Linked DNA regions of Cricetulus griseus. The protein of the gene in region 1 purifies or fractionates together with the protein of each later gene. This does not show direct contact. Links are inferred from orthologs where the notes say so. Each region holds a gene or a part of one and is shown in the gene's direction. Other genes may lie near its edges. The genes, in order: Smarcc1, Actl6a, Dpf2 and Sin3a.

The links.
Region 2: the proteins of Smarcc1 (region 1) and Actl6a fractionate together in Homo sapiens (co-fractionation; 8 studies listed by BioGRID and IntAct, with this or other methods). This does not show direct contact. The link is inferred for Cricetulus griseus from reciprocal best matches to the Homo sapiens genes SMARCC1 and ACTL6A.
Region 3: the proteins of Smarcc1 (region 1) and Dpf2 purify together in Homo sapiens (affinity purification with mass spectrometry; 9 studies listed by BioGRID and IntAct, counting the BioPlex papers as one, with this or other methods). This does not show direct contact. The link is inferred for Cricetulus griseus from reciprocal best matches to the Homo sapiens genes SMARCC1 and DPF2.
Region 4: the proteins of Smarcc1 (region 1) and Sin3a purify together in Homo sapiens (affinity purification with western blotting; 3 studies listed by BioGRID, with this or other methods). This does not show direct contact. The link is inferred for Cricetulus griseus from reciprocal best matches to the Homo sapiens genes SMARCC1 and SIN3A.

What each region holds. Positions count from the first base shown.
Region 1 is NC_048597.1:217,653,494-217,657,618, forward strand, and holds part of Smarcc1 (SWI/SNF complex subunit SMARCC1), read left to right. Parts: intron 1-1,136; coding exon 1,137-1,395; intron 1,396-3,367; coding exon 3,368-3,529; intron 3,530-4,125. UniProt on the Homo sapiens protein: Involved in transcriptional activation and repression of select genes by chromatin remodeling (alteration of DNA-nucleosome topology).
Region 2 is NW_023276806.1:116,642,031-116,646,155, reverse strand, and holds part of Actl6a (actin-like protein 6A), read left to right. Parts: intron 1-166; coding exon 167-243; intron 244-396; coding exon 397-571; intron 572-3,005; coding exon 3,006-3,106; intron 3,107-3,763; coding exon 3,764-3,861; intron 3,862-4,125.
Region 3 is NC_048596.1:53,441,292-53,444,936, forward strand, and holds part of Dpf2 (zinc finger protein ubi-d4), read left to right. Parts: intron 1-116; coding exon 117-254; intron 255-558; coding exon 559-687; intron 688-824; coding exon 825-937; intron 938-2,120; coding exon 2,121-2,202; intron 2,203-3,645. UniProt on the Homo sapiens protein: Plays an active role in transcriptional regulation by binding modified histones H3 and H4. Is a negative regulator of myeloid differentiation of hematopoietic progenitor cells. Might also have a role in the development and maturation of lymphoid cells.
Region 4 is NC_048597.1:168,623,932-168,628,056, forward strand, and holds part of Sin3a (paired amphipathic helix protein Sin3a), read left to right. Parts: intron 1-530; coding exon 531-683; intron 684-809; coding exon 810-968; intron 969-2,714; coding exon 2,715-2,804; intron 2,805-4,125. UniProt on the Homo sapiens protein: Acts as a transcriptional repressor. Corepressor for REST. Interacts with MXI1 to repress MYC responsive genes and antagonize MYC oncogenic activities. Also interacts with MXD1-MAX heterodimers to repress transcription by tethering SIN3A to DNA.

The sequences.
Region 1 (4,125 bases):
CACCAATGCCTGGCCCCATCTTGCATGTCTTAACTTTGTTATTTTGTGTTTGTGTGTGTGTGTATGTGATGTCTGAGTATATGAGGACAACTTTGAAGTAGGTTCTCTCCTGGCATGCTGTGGGCTGCTAAACAAATGACTTTTTATCTGCTAGCCGTGTTGCTTACCCCTTGCCTGTAGTTGATGATATTTTATGCTTTAGTGTGGGAAGAGTTTGTCATAGAGTGGCATCTAATGAGGTAACTGGATTTAGGTTGTTGATTTCTCTGTCTTCGATTGTCTTTTTATTATGCTGCTCTTACACATAATGGAATGCATTTTTTTTATTTTAATGCTGTTCCAAATATTTTTCTAATTTAAATTGTTCGTTGTTATTAGAGAAATACAAGTATTGTTTTTGTCTTCTGTTGCACTTTTCACTGGTCATTTGATATTTAGTGGGGTTTGTTTTGTTTTGTTTTTTGGGGATGTTTTGTTGTTGTTTTTTTGTTTTGTTTTGTTTTTTTGTTTTTTGAGACATGTGGCTTTGGAGGCTCCTGGAACTAGCTCTTGTAGACCAGGCTGGTCTGGAACTCACAGAGATCCGCTTGCCTCTGCCTCCCCAGTGCTGAGATTAAAGGCCTGCGCCACCACTGCTCGGCTGATACTTAGTGTTAATCTTCAACCACTACCCCATTTATTCTTTAGAAGGTTTTGTGTAAACAATACTGATCCTGTTAAAGGACAGGTTTCTAAATGCGCATGTATTTTATTTATTTTTGTTGCCTGTTACACAGCTTACTACAAAGAAAACTGTCAAACTGCCATTTTATTTTAATGTACTAGTAATCATTTATGTTATTATTTTGAGTTAGCCTCTTTCTCAGTCTAGTAATCTTCTGCCTCAATTTATTGATTACTGAGGTTTAATGGCATGTGCCATCACAACTAAATCTTTACCCAGAATTTTTAGAAATATTGTTTAAAGAATCATAGCGAGGCAGGTGATTTGGCTCTTATAGCACTCTGGAGCTCCAGCAAGGAGATTGGAAGTTTGAGAGCAGTCTGTACTGCACATTGAGACATGCTTCATTTTTTGTTCCATATTACCTCCTTTTTACTTGACATTAACGCTCATCATTTATGTGTTCACGTAGGCTCTGGAGATGTACAAGGATGATTGGAATAAAGTCTCAGAACATGTTGGAAGTCGTACACAGGATGAATGCATCCTCCACTTTTTGAGGCTTCCCATTGAGGACCCATACCTTGAAAATTCGGATGCTTCCCTTGGGCCTCTAGCTTACCAGCCTGTCCCTTTCAGCCAGTCTGGAAACCCAGTGATGAGTACCGTTGCGTTTTTAGCGTCTGTGGTTGATCCTCGTGTGGCATCTGCTGCAGCAAAAGCGGCATTGGGTATGTACTCTGTTTGAGCCGCCTCTCCAGCACTGAGATCTGACCTCAGAGTTGAATATTATTAGCCGTGAGCACAAGGCTTGTGTAAATTGCCTGTTTTGTAGGCATAATGACCTGAGATCGCATCTCCAAAGACTGTGTAAGACTTCGAGGTTCCAGATGGTGCTTGTAGCACCTTCCCTGGGGACAGAGTTATATGACCATAGAGAGCATCTTAGAGAACATGATAGCGTGAGACGTGAAAGAGAAATCTGTCCTGATGTAAACCTCTGGTCTGCACACATGCCCATTGGTGTGAGCTTACACTCAAACACAAACCTACACACTCACACTCTCAAACGTTTTAAAAAATATATGTCAGCTGTTATTTATGCAAATCCAAGAAAACCCCAAAGATAATGGTTTTCATAAAGGTTATAAATAATCTTTTAATGTACAAAATTTTTTGTAAGTTAAGAGCATTTATTTACATTTTCTTTCATTTTTTTAAGATCTATTTTGTGTGTGTGTGTGTGTGTGTGTGTGTGTGTGTGTGTGTGTGTGTGTGTGTTTATGTAATCAACTATCATGATGTTTTTCAGAAGGTTAGAGGCCTAGCATTGGGAGGGTTCTCTCCTACAATGTGTGCCTTGTGAATTAAACTTAAAACTATCAGCTTAGCCCCAAGTGCCTTTCCCTGCTGAGCCATCTTGCTGGTGATAGCGTATTTGTTTAGAATTAGGTAAGCAGCCAGATATGATTGTAGACACCTATGAAATACCAGCTTTTGGGAGGCAGAAGCAAAAGAAACATGACTTTGAGGTTCAGCTTGGACTACAGTAGATCTTATCTCTTACATACATGTACACACACAGGTTTTTTTTTCTGGTGTGTGTGTGTGTAAAGAAGTGTTTTGTGATATTAGGAAATTGATAGAGCCAAGGAATGGAAGTTCAATTAATTTACTACAATTATCATTTTTTAAAATTACTTTTTGTTTTTGTTTTGTTTTTTAATTTTATTAGTTGAAATTAGGAATGAGCTTGCTTCACATGTCAATTCTTTCTCCCTCCCCTCCCCCTAACATCTCACCTGTCCCTAGCCATCCCCCCTCCACTCCCCAGGCAGGGTAAGGCCCTCAAAAGGGGCTCCCCAAAGTCAACCACATCATCCTGGGCTAGGCCTAGGCCCTTCCCCATATGTCCAGGCCAAGAGAGCATCCCTTCACATCAAAATCCCTTCTCTTTTCTTTTTTTTAAGACCTTTCATATTTAATATGGTGCGTTACCCCTGCAATTATAATTGTTTGATCCTTGGTGTTTTTACAACTACCAGTCTAGCCAACAGAGAGAGAAAAATAGGACTGCAATTTTAATTGTTACTAGTAGATCCTTAAAAATCTTTTAAAAGTATATTTAAGACGTCACAATGATGTTTAGGATAAAAACCTGGAATGTAGACAGGCATTGTTAGAACACACATTTTATTTATTTATTTATTTATTTATTTGTTTATTTATTCATTCATTCATTCATTCATTCATTTGTTTATTTGAGTATTCTGTCTTCCTGTACCTCTGCATGATAGAGGAGGGGATCAGATCCCATTATAGATGGTTGTGAGCCACCATGTGGGTGCTGGGGAATTTTACTCAGCACCTCTAGACGAACAGCCAATGCTCTTAACAGCCACTGAGGCACCTCTCCATCCCGGCACACGCCTTCTTAATCCCAACACTTGGGAGGCAGAGGTAGGAGGGTCTCTGTGAGTTGAGATCAGCCTGGTCTACAGAGCGAGTTCCACGACAGCCTACAAAGCCAGAGAAAACCTGTCTTGAAAAAACTAAAAAATCGTAGATTGATTCATTTTACCCTCTGCCCCAAAGAGCTCATTACAACGAAACCAATGCTATTATGTCAGATACTCTAAGTCATATATGAGAAGCACATGTCTATGCAAAATGCAAATGGTGTGTCTTTTCATTTTGAATCAGAGGAGTTTTCTCGGGTCCGAGAAGAAGTACCACTGGAATTAGTTGAAGCGCACGTCAAAAAAGTACAGGAAGCTGCGAGAGCCTCTGGAAAGGTGGATCCGACCTATGGCTTGGAGAGCAGCTGTATTGCAGGCACAGGTCCTGACGAGCCAGAGAAGCTTGGTGAGTCGTTGCTGTACCCAGGACTTGGTATCAGATGTTTATATTCCCTGTCATTGTGCAAAATAGTAGTGTTTGTTTACACGAAAGCCCACAAAATGATGAGGGTAAACTTCCTCTTAAGCTGGGTGTATGAATCTTTGCTTTGCTCTCACATGCTCATGGCACGGAGGAGGAAAACTAAAACAGGGCCCAGGAGCTGAACAGTAGTGTGAGAGTTAGCACAGTTTTGGGATTTTTGTTTTGTTTTTCGTGGCAATGTTTTCTGTGTATCAGTTCTGGGTGTTCTGGAACTCCCTTGAATTCAGGCTGCTTTCGAATTCATAGAGATCCACCTACCCTATCCCTTCTGAGTCCGAGGTTAAAGGCTACCATGCCTGGCTATTTTGAGATATTTATGGTTGATGATAGATCTTTTTTATTATATGTACTGAAGTTGCTTTAGCCTTGTCTATTTTAAAACTTATGTAGGATAGCTATGATATAAGACGCCCCATTTTATTCACTCAGTTTGTAATTCAATAATTTGTACTATATTCACATTTGTCTTCCTTACTTAATTCTGTAACTTTTTTTTTTTTTCAAAAAAGGATTTCTCC
Region 2 (4,125 bases), on another chromosome or scaffold:
CTCTCTTTTGGTTTGTTTGTTTGCTTTGTTGAGACAGAGTTTCTCTGTGTAGCCCCAACTGCCTGGAACTAGTTCTGTGTATCAGTCTGGCCTGGAACTCAGAGATTTGTCTGCCTCTACCCTGCCTCCCTCAATGGGATGTGTAATTGTTTTTTAATCTTTTCAGATGAAGTTGGCGCCCTTGTTTTTGACATTGGATCATATACAGTGAGGGCTGGTTATGCTGGTGAGGACTGCCCCAAGGTAAGAACAGTGATGACAATTATTTTAGATAGACAAGAGTCATTTGTACAAAATTAAATTCAAACAGAAACTCAAAACAAAAATGGCAGTAGATACTAGAAACACTGCCCAGTGAAAGTGGATGTTACTTCATACCATGTTTAACTCTCCCAGGTTGATTTCCCCACGGCTATTGGTATGGTGTTGGAGAGAGATGATGGAAGCACCATGATGGAAATAGATGGTGACAAAGGCAAACAGGGTGGTCCCACTTATTACATAGATACCAATGCCCTCCGAGTACCCAGGGAGAACATGGAAGCCATCTCACCACTCAAGAATGGAATGGGTATGGATTTGATTATAAATAGTGCTCACAGTACTTTTAGATATAAAATGGTAACTGATGGATGTCAGGTGTGTGTTTGTTTTAATTCCACAAAGTAATATTTTGGGTACTGAGAACACAAAGATTAGTAGGAAGTATTCTTTTCCTTAAACTTGGTCTGGAGAGTTTGATATATGCACAGAAAACTGTTTATTGTATACTGGGTAAGAACTATGTAGGTGTGGTAAGGAAACAATGGTATTAGAGAGATGTAGCTTGAATTCTAATTGATCTTAATAATAAAAACCCAGAGCTAGCTATCACAGTAAATGCTGAAAGATCTGAGAAAAAAGGAGCAAGGCACCTCTTACTTCACCAACTGCTCAGCCTGAAAGGGCAGGATCCTGTCTACAAATTCTTGGACTGAAAGTGATCCTGTCTCTAGGAATCCTCAAACTGAATGCAATGAGCTCCTGTCTCCTCCTGCTTTATATTCCTCTCTCCTCCCAGCCATCTCCCTTCCTGTCTCCACCTCCCTAGTGCTGGGATTAAAGGCATGTGACTCCCAGGTACTGGGATTGAATGTGTGAGCCATCACTGCCTGGCTTTGTTTCTCTTTTAGACTGGATCAATCTTGTATAGCCCAAGGTGGCCCGAAACTCACTAATATCCATCTGCCTCTGCTTGTGACACCACTGCCTGACCTCTATGGCCACCTACTGTCTAGCTCCGCACTCTGATCTTCAGGCAAGCTTTATTTGTTAAAGCACAAACAAAATATCACCACAGTGATAGGACAGGAGGAAGTTTCCAGTGGAAATGAGGGTTTAAACCACTGATGGCAGAGATCCTGAAGTGGCTTTTAGGGATCCAGGTGACAGGTGGCACTAAGAGCTTGAAGAGGCAGAAAGTAGAGAATGAGAAGGTTTCTTAGAACTTCAGTTGAGGGGACAAATAAATAAATTCACTGAGGTAAGAATTAAAGGGGGAGGAAGATGGGTTATAGTCTTGGGATAAAACTTGGAGGTAAGATACTCTTAGGACTGACTCATGGGGCCATACTGAAAAGACACATGAGGAAGTCATCTAGGAAAAAGGGAAAGGGGATGAAATCCAGAGGAGACCAAGCCTTCTCACTGTAGATATGTGGGATGTGTTTCCTAACTCAACTGCACAGTGTATTGTCCACCAAGGGATTAGCAGAGACTCTGTGTGTAAGGCTTTAATTGAGGCTGGTCACATAGGACCACCTCCTCCTGTCATGTGCCATAGCTCTAGAACCCAGGAGGGAAGTGGTAGTCAACCTAAGCCACTTTGTGCAAACAGGTGCTCTTACCATGCAAGGAAAGTTTGATGTCAGTGCCAGAAACTGTTGAGTATTTGAGTGCCAGACAGCAGTAGAGGGTCAGGTTTGTGTGTTCCCACACAGCAAGTAAATGGCCTGACTTCAGGGTGTATGAGACATTGGTAATGAAGTCATGGGGAAACATTGAAGATGTGGAATTGCACTATATGACCCAAAAAGGACTGGAACTTGTAAGAGGTTAAGAATGGGCTTTCTGTTAAAAACATGTTCAGTATTTAGCTAGTAGAGAGGAGTGCTCTGGAAGGAGAATGAACAGTCTTGTGTTAGGGGTAGGGGGAGAGTCAAGTGGTGGTCAGTTTTCTCAGAGGTGGGTTGAGATTACACTAAGGGCAACATAGGTCCCAGCTACTGGTGAAGTCCACAGATTTAAAAAAAAAAAAGATCAAATGGGTTTGTGGGAGAAAACATTTGTAAACCATTGTAAACAGTGCCAAGTAATGTCAAACAGTCACATGCAGTTGAAATTACTATTTGTCCAATGGAACTGTCACCAGTTAACTAGTACCTCATGAACAGAAGAAGGGGTTGCCAGAAGACATCTGTGTTTTTGTTTCTTTTGTTTCTTGAGACAAAGCTTATCTCTGTAGTCCTGGCTGACCATGAACTCAGAGACCTGCCTGCCTCTGCCTCCCCAGTACTATGTACAGGGATTAAAGGTGTGCACTGTCATGTCTGGTACTCTCTGAATTCTTAAAATGTCTTTAAATCTTATTTTTCTGATAGCAAGTTTTGTTGTTGTTTATTTGTTTTCCTAGCTCCAAGTGTAGCTGTGTCTAGCCCGTGAGCTCCTTTCCTTTGTCCTCTTTCTCTTCTGATCACTCACCTGGCCTCTAGCTAGAATTGTTGTGTCTCTTAAGCACTCTGCTTATATTTAGGGCAGATCTGAGGCCCACCTGGAAGAACCAAGAAGAGATTTTATAAGTAGAAAATGATGATGGCCTCTTTTGTAAAGTGCTGTGTTACAAAGTAGATTCTGTATATTCAGACATTAACTTGAAAGTCACAGACACAGTCTCCACCTTAGAAGATGCTCATTCATTTATCGTTGGCTAAGCTTTGTTTCAGGCTATGACTCTTATGTTCTTGTAGTTGAAGACTGGGATAGTTTCCAGGCCATTTTGGATCATACCTATAAGATGCATGTCAAATCTGAAGCCAGCCTGCATCCTGTTCTCATGTCAGAAGCACCGGTGAGACCCGCTGTCTTTCTTCTTCTTTTACTTCCCAGTCACCTGAAGACTTTCTTTTAAAAACTGATTCATTTATTAATTTTTCATGTGTGTATTTAGATATACATAGATGCTTATGTGCCAGGCACACATGTAGAAGTCAGACAACAACTTGAAGGCATAGTTCTTTCTACCATGTGGATCCCAGAGATCTCACTAGAGTTATCAGGCTTGGTGGTGAAAGCCTGCTGAACCTTCTTGCTGGCCCTCTTAAAAGTCATCGAAATTCACATTTTGAGTTTAGAAATTTGTGGAAAGCTTAATTTTTATTATGGTTAAAACATTTCAGCAAATGAAATAATTGGCTTTGTGAGTACCAGTTACAAGAGGGTAATTGGGTGTTTTAAATTCATATTTAGAATTCAGTTACCAGATGTAATGTGTAATAATACTTTGGTTTTTAGAATCTTGATTTTCCTGTGATTTGAAAAGTATTTGGAGAACTCAAAGCAGCTGACAGTTATACCTGATTAATAATAGCTTAATTTATGATTTATTTTAAAAAAGGGCATTCTTAACATTGTTTTTTTGCCAATATGGCTCTGTAATATAGCATGAACTAGCCAGTGCTTTAATTACTACACATTGAATAACTGGGGTCCTTCCTCCCTTCTGCAGTGGAACACCAGGGCAAAGAGAGAGAAACTGACAGAGTTGATGTTCGAACACTACAGCATCCCTGCATTCTTCCTTTGCAAAACTGCAGTTTTGACGGCGTATCCTTAAACAATGTGACCGCTTTTCTCTGTGATTGTAAGATATTAGTGAGGATGTGTTTTCCTTTTTTTCTAGCTTTTTACCTATCTTTGAGTATTTTTAAGTTTTTTTCCCTGTTGTTGGTATATGTACACAGTGCTGGGTTTCATAATCACAATCTCCTTCAAATATATCATGTACCTGGACCATATTCACCCGACTCCTTAGATTCCCCTGCATGCTCTAATAGTCTCCCTACTTTCTTTTTCCACTCTGCCATCCAG
Region 3 (3,645 bases), on another chromosome or scaffold:
TCCCAGATTAGAAATGCTGGGGACATAAGTATTTTCCATGATGCTTTACAGCTTGTCAGACTGGGTGAGTAGCACCTTCGTGTCCTAACATTTCTCTGCAATCTTCTTCCACCCAGTTTGTGGAAAACGCTACAAGAATCGACCTGGCCTCAGTTACCACTATGCCCATTCCCACCTGGCTGAGGAGGAGGGAGAGGACAAAGAAGACTCTCAACCACCTACTCCTGTTTCCCAGAGGTCTGAGGAGCAGAAATGTAAGCTGAGGTGTCAGGATGAGCAAACAGGAGAGGAGCCAGCCTGGTTATAAAAACCCTCTTTGGGGAGGAGCTTGATTCTGCCCCAACTTAATGTACCAAACTATGTTGAGTCCAAATGAGAGCCCTTACCTGTTGGGGGTGGGGAGTGGGCTGGGAGGGGAGGCGAGGGGAGCAGGAGGAGGGAGGGGAGGAAGAACTTTGGTTGGAATGTAAAATGAAATTTAAAAAAATACTTAAAATAAAAGTCCTCCTTGTAGGGAATGTGGGGCATCATCAAAATTCCTTTCTTTTTTTCCTGTAGCCAAGAAAGGACCTGATGGATTAGCCCTGCCCAACAACTACTGTGACTTCTGCCTGGGAGACTCAAAAATCAACAAGAAGACAGGGCAGCCTGAGGAGCTAGTGTCCTGTTCTGACTGTGGCCGCTCAGGTACTTCCATTCTCAAAGAGCAGGCTGCACTCAGTGCCCAGGACACTCTTGGCCTGGTTACTTCAGTGCTGTCAGGCAGCCTCCCATCCCCATTCCCCACGGGTTTCCAGCCCCCGTTTGACTCGCCTCCCCCACAGGGCACCCGTCCTGCCTGCAGTTCACCCCCGTGATGATGGCGGCTGTGAAGACCTACCGCTGGCAGTGCATCGAGTGCAAGTGCTGCAACCTCTGCGGCACTTCGGAGAATGACGTGCGTGCGCCCTCTCAGCCTGCCTGGCTCTCCCCTCAGCTCCCCCAAAGCAAGCTTTCTGTCAGCACAAGCAAGGGCCTCCCTCCTTCCACGCCCCTCCTTAGCCTCCCCTGGGGAACTTTACACTTGTTTAAAAAAATCTGTTTCTTGAGCACCAGCAGTCGGTGTTTTTGGCTCTCAGGTCACTAAGTAAGACAGAGAAGACCATGCTTTCATCAAATTTGTGTACTTGGGTAACAGAGTTTTGTATGATATACCTTGATGAGCCAAAGAGTTAACTGGTCTACAAAGCAAGTTCCAAGACAGGCTCCAAAGCTACACAGTGAGACCCTGTCTCAAAAAACAAACAAAAAAAAAGAGTTAACTTGATACTGATAGAGGTTTCTAGTTAGATTTGCTTTTGGAGGAAATGAAGTTGGTGTTGGAGTTTTGATAACACAAAGAGCCAGTCCAAAAAGGTACAAAATGAGTGTATTTCCAAAGAGGTATAGCCAGTGCAGAGACCTTGAGATTGGCAAGCCCGCTGTAACAAGGCCATTGCTACCCACTAGATCTTTCATGTGGGGGAAGGTGAATCGGAGAGGTGGATGTTGTTTGATCTATGGGTCTTGAGTCCTTTTGTGAGCAGTGAGGAATCCTGGAGATTGACCCCAGGACCTGGTGAACACTAGGCATGAGCTTTGCTGCTAAGCTCCACCCCTGTGCTTGGACCTTGGGGATGTTGACAGAGGCCATTTATTTGGGGGTGGTTGTTGTGTGATATGTTCTGTCTCATATTTTCAGAAGGTAACTGGCAGCTTTGTAGAGAAGAGATTGTAGGGAAATAGTAGGCTTTGTGATCAGTTAGAATCTGGATAGGTTGAGATGGGCAGGTCTTACTTCTTTATTTTAATTACTTAACTTCATGTGCATTGTTGTTTTGCCTGCATGTATGTCTGTGTAAGGGTATCAGGTCTCATGGAACTGGAGTTACAGACAGTTGTGAGCTGCCATGTGGGTGCTGGGAATTAAACCCAGGGCCTCTGGAAGAACAGTCAGTGTTCTTCACTGCTGTGCCATCTTTCCAGCCCCTCTACATCTCTTCTTAGCAGCTACTAGTCCCTCATAAAAGTAGCAGCAGTGTCACAACTTGGGTACATAAGCCTTTGGATCCTTGTTCTTTCTTTCTCCTTACCTTCTGCAGGACCAGCTGCTCTTCTGTGATGACTGTGACCGTGGCTACCACATGTACTGTCTCACCCCATCCATGTCGGAGCCTCCTGAAGGTAAGTGGCCCACCCAAAATACTTTATCCCAGAAGGATCCATAACACCCAAGTAAAACATGACTTGTTATAGGTCTTAATTGTGTGGTTTCAGCATTTTTTGATTTCTTAAGACAGGGTTTCTCTGTATAACAGCCCTGACTGCCCTGAAACTCACTTTGTAGACCAGGTTGACCTTGAACTCACAGAGATCCGCCTGTATCTGCCTCCCAAGTGCTGGGATCAAAGGCATGCATCACCACTGCCTGGCCCAGAATTTTTTTTTCTTTAAAGACTTTATTATGTATACAACATTCTGCTTCCATGTACATCTGCACACCAGAAGAAGGCACCAGATCTTATAATGGATGGTTGTGAGCCACCATGTGGTTGCTGGGAATTGAACTCAGGACCTCTGGAAGAGCAGTCAGTGCTCTTAACCGCTGAGCCATCTCTCCAGCCCCCAGAATTTTAATTTAAAGAACTTAATGTTTGCAAGCTGTCTTCCTTTGTATAGTCCAGAAATTCAGTTGGAGCTTATCTAACATGATATTTCTTTTGTCGCTCTCCTACTCTGATGGATTGTTTCTTTCCTCTCTTCCCCATTCGGGAGGGAGTTGACCCTGGAGCTTGGGGTATTTTTTTGCATCTCTTGTGGTTCACTTAGTAATGCTCCAAGTTCATGGAAGTGCTACACCAACACCAATGGTGACATCAAGGAGTGGTTCTTTTCCACAAGTCCCTTCCAACTGTGTTTCTGTGCCTAGCTCCTTCCTCTAAGGTAGTAGTTCTCAGCCTGTGGGTCTCAATCCCCATAGGGATCACATATTGGATATCCTGCATATCGGATATTTATGTTACAGTTCGCCAAGCGATGATGGCACACGCCTTTAATTCCAGTACTCGGGAGGCAGAGGCAGGTGGATCTCTGTGAGTTTGAGACCAGCCTGGTCTACAAGAGCTAGTTCCAGGACAGCCTCCAAATCACAGAGAAACCTGTCTCGGAAAAAAAGAAAAGACAACAGATATTTATGTTACAATTCATAATAGTAGCAAAATTAACAGTTATGAAGTAGCAATGGAATTTTATGTTTGGGGGATCACTACAACATGAGGAGCTGTATTAAAGGGTCTCAGCATTAGGAAGGTTGTGAACCACTGCAAGAGACTCAAAGCTTGTCCAGGAGGGCCTAAGTACCTAGTAGCTCTGCTGTGCACAGACAGGAGCCAGCCTTCAAGTGGGAGTAGTTTACTGTTTCCAGAAGCTGACTGGTAATGTAGGTCAGACTGCAGAAAATGAGGCCACTAGCAAAACTGGTGAGTACTTTAACAATTGCAGGACCACACAGTGCTACTGAATGCCACATCCATCTCCAAATCAGCTTGAAGAAAGTAGTCCTTGTGTTTTGTTTAATGACCAAATAGCACCTTATAGACAGAACTTGCATTGATGGCCCAAGGGCTT
Region 4 (4,125 bases), about 49 Mb from region 1:
GCCTTGTCAGGATTTTTTAAGGTCACTAGCTTGTTAAGAGGGTGTTTGTTTCATAGTGGAAGTTTGTGAGGGGAATTTTTGGATCTTGATTGATTTACAAGAGAACATGGATGTTTTTTTTTTTTTTTTGGTTTTTCGACACAGGGTTTCTCTGTGGCTTTGGAGGCTGTCCTGGAACTAGCTCTTATAGACCAGGCTGGTCTTGAACTCACAGAGATCCGCCTGCTCTGCCTCTGCTGGGATTAAAAGCATGCGCCACCAATGCCCGGGGGATGATGTTTTTTAATGTCTTGTGTTTTATCAGTTTAATTAATGGAGCATTCACTTGTTCTTAGTTTTATAAAGACCTATCTATCATTCAGCATCTTCTTTCTCAAAAGACTACAATTAAAACAGTAATTAAATTAATATAATACTTTAAAGTATTTTAGCTCTATCAAACATTTCAGAAAATATTGTGTGTGTGGTGTAGGATTCAGACTAGTAGCTCCCTTAGTGTGTATCGTTTGTCCCCTTCTGTTGCTCTTCAGAAAGAACAGAGGAATGCCAAGGAAGCTGGAGGAAACTATACTCCAGCCTTGACTGAGCAAGAGGTATATGCCCAGGTGGCACGTCTCTTCAAAAACCAGGAGGATCTGTTATCTGAGTTTGGACAGTTCTTGCCGGATGCCAACAGCTCGGTGGTAAGTCTCATTTAGACAAACTACATTATTTAAGATTGTCACTATAAGTTTGAAAGCTGTAGTCACAGGGGACTTTTTAGGTAACACTTTTGATCCAAGTACTAATCTCTCTTGTGTCTTAATCAGCTTTTAAGCAAAACAACTGCTGAGAAGGTTGATTCTGTGAGAAATGACCATGGGGGCACTGTGAAGAAGCCCCAACTGAACAACAAGCCACAAAGGCCCAGCCAGAATGGCTGCCAGATCCGCAGACACTCTGGAGCGGGTACCACGCCTCCAGTGAAGGTGAGAGTAGACAGATAGGTGATAAGATGGTTACAGCCTGTATTTCCAGAGCACGTTAGTATAGGCCACAGAAATTCCCTCCAAAGCTTCTTAGTAGCTTTGCAAATGGCAGGTATGAAGCACACTCACCATGTGGGTCAGTGTGTGTGTGTGTGTGTGTGTGTGTGTGTGTGTGTGTGTGTGTGTGTGTGTGTGTGTTTCCAGCTTCTGTATTTTTTTCCTATATTCTCTCTCCTTTGCTGTGAGCTTCTCACTCTTTTACTTTGTTGTCAAGACTTACTAATTTCTATCATGATTTGATGTGTTAAAATTGCCTTGTATTACAGGATGATTCTTAAACTGATAAATGATAATAAATGAATGATCTCTGAGGAAATTCGACTCTTGTGAGCCTAGTGCAGATGCTTTGTATTTTCTTAGTCTTCAAGGGCTGTACTAGAGGGCAGTCTTTTGCTCCTGTTAGTGACTACTACAGTGAACACTAGTGACCTGTCAATAGAAAGCCCAGTTTGTCTCCTTGATTTAGTGTGTCTGATATAAGAAGGAAGCAGAATGTATTCATTGTTGAATTTCTCTGGGAATTCTAAACCATGTAATATGGAGTAGAGGTGTCTATAGAATTTGGTTAAAGCAAAAAAGACAGTGGAAGGTGGTGGGTGTCAAGTGGCTCCAAGGACTGACACTCTCTGAAAGGTTGTTTTGGTACTTGCAGTGTTTTCTCAGTTTTGGAATCGGGTTGAATATAGTAGTGGTTTTATTGTTTGGTTTTTTAACTTCAAAAAGTATTCTGTGGATTGCAAGAATTAGCTCAATAGCTAAGAACTCTCTCTTGGGTCTGTTTCCTTCTACACCTGATAATCCACAGGTAGAAACAGTATGCTAGTGCTTAGTTTCCACGTCCCATAGAGACAGAAGCTGCTGGCAGAGTTGGTTATTTCTTCACAGGTAGTAAGAGGTGGGTTTTTAAAAGTAAAATTTTCCTAGTGGGGTTATATTATGGCCTTTTCATTTCTGTTTGGCCTTCATTGTACCTGGTACTCAGAAGTAGTCCAGGCTAATTGTCAGCTCATGGCAACCCTCCTGCCTCAGACTAATGAGTGAAGGGATATAGACTGTGCCAGGCTCTCCCTCCCACTTTTAAAACTTTTTTTTTGTTTTTTTTTTTTTTTTTTTTTTCTTTGAGACATAGTTTCTCTATGTAGCCTTGGCTGTCCTGAAACTCACTTTGTAGACCAGGCTGGCTTTGAACTCACAGAGATTTACCTGCCTCTGCCTCCAAGTATTGGGATTTAAAGGCATGTGCCACTGCCATGTGGCTTTCAAGTTAAATTATTAATATGGCTAGGGGTTACAGTGACACCTGTCCTAGCAACACTGTGATGTGATGGGCAGGGCAGCAAAGCAGATCTTTGAGTTTGAGGACATCTAGGGCTACACAGTGACACTCTCAAAAAAAAAAAAAAAAAAAAAACATTAGCAGTATTAGTTTGAGTGGATATGCTGATAAGATGGTTATGCTGTCTACTAGACAATGAACTAATTTTTTTCCCTATGGATTTTTAAGTTGAAATAGTATAGGTTAAAGATTTATTTTTTAAACCCCAGAGTTAAAGGTTATGATAGAAATTTGTGACTGCAATCTCATTTGTTCTGATTAGTTAGTAGTAGTAGAACCATTTTAGCAAAATTAAAGAAAATTCACTCAGCATTGTATGTTTTTGTTTTATTTCTTATTTTTATTTCCAGAAAAAACCCAAACTGCTTAGTCTAAAGGAATCTTCAATGGCAGATGCCAGCAAGCATGGTGTTGGAACTGAGTCATTATTTTTTGATAAGGTAAGCAATGAGTAACATTTGATATTAGTTGTTAAGAGTAGTTATCTAGCCCGGGGCGTTGGTGGCACATGCCTTTAATCCCAGCACTTGGGAGGCAGAGGCAGGCGGATCTCTGTGAGTTTGAGGCCAGAGCGAGTGCCAGGATAGGCTCCAAAGCTACACAGAGAAACCCTGTCTCGAAAAACCAATAAAAGTCATCTAATCCCCAAGGTTTTGTTTAGGAAGTGGCAACTGATTAGGAGTTTTTAGCATTGTTTTTATTTAATCTTCGGGTTTGTTTTGTTTGAAGACAGAATCTTTCTATGTGTAACTTAGGTTAGCCTTGAACTCACCTTGTATTCCAGGCTGGCTTTCAGTTCCTCATCATTTGGAGGTGGATCTCTGTGAGTTCGAGGCCAGCCTGGTCTACAAAGCGAGTTCCAGGACAGACTCCGAAGCTACATAGTGAAATCCTATTTGGAAAAAAAAACAAAAAAACCCAAAAAATTAGTTTTCAGTGCTGTAAGTGTGTGTGTGGGAGGTTGTGTGAGAGAGAATGTTAGAACGTGCACATCAAAACAGATATCTGTCCTAATATTTTACCTTACCTGAGGCAGGGTCTTTTGTTGAGCACCACTGACAGTTTAAGGTATCTGGCCCTGGAGCTTGTAGAGGGAATTTGCTATCTCTGCCTCCCAACTCAATCCCAGTAGGTGTGCTGGAATTACAAATGTTACACTACGTCTGACTTGTCCCAACGTTTTCCTTAGACTTGCATGACAAGTGTTTTATTCATTGAGCTATCTCTCAATGTCCCGTGTTGTCAAACCCCCCCCCCCCCGTGTGTGTTTGTGTGTGTGTGTGTGCGAGCACGAGAGAGAGAGAGAGAGAGAGAAGAGAGAGAGAGAGAGAGAGAGAGAGAGAGAGAGAGAGAGAACACTTGAGCATATATATGTGTGGAGGTCAGAGGTTAGTGTTGGGTATTATCTTCAGTTGCTTCTCTGCCTTGTTTTTTTGAGAGAAGGACTCATTGAACCTAGAGCTCACAAATTGGTACACTGACTTGTCTGTAAGCTTCAGGGGTCTTCCTGTCTCTGCTTCTCGAGAGCTGGGATTACAGTTTTATATTCCTGTGCCTAGTATTTTATGTCGGTGCTGGGAGTCCAAACTCTGGTCCTCTGCTTGAGAAAGAATCCCTTTGCCATTTGAGCCATATCCTCAGGCTGTTTTTGTTGTCATTTTTAAGATTTAATTATTAGATGTGTATATGTGTGCCTTTATGAACACCCATATGCCATGAGTATATAGGTGTGGTTATGAATTACCTCATGTTTGTTGCCAC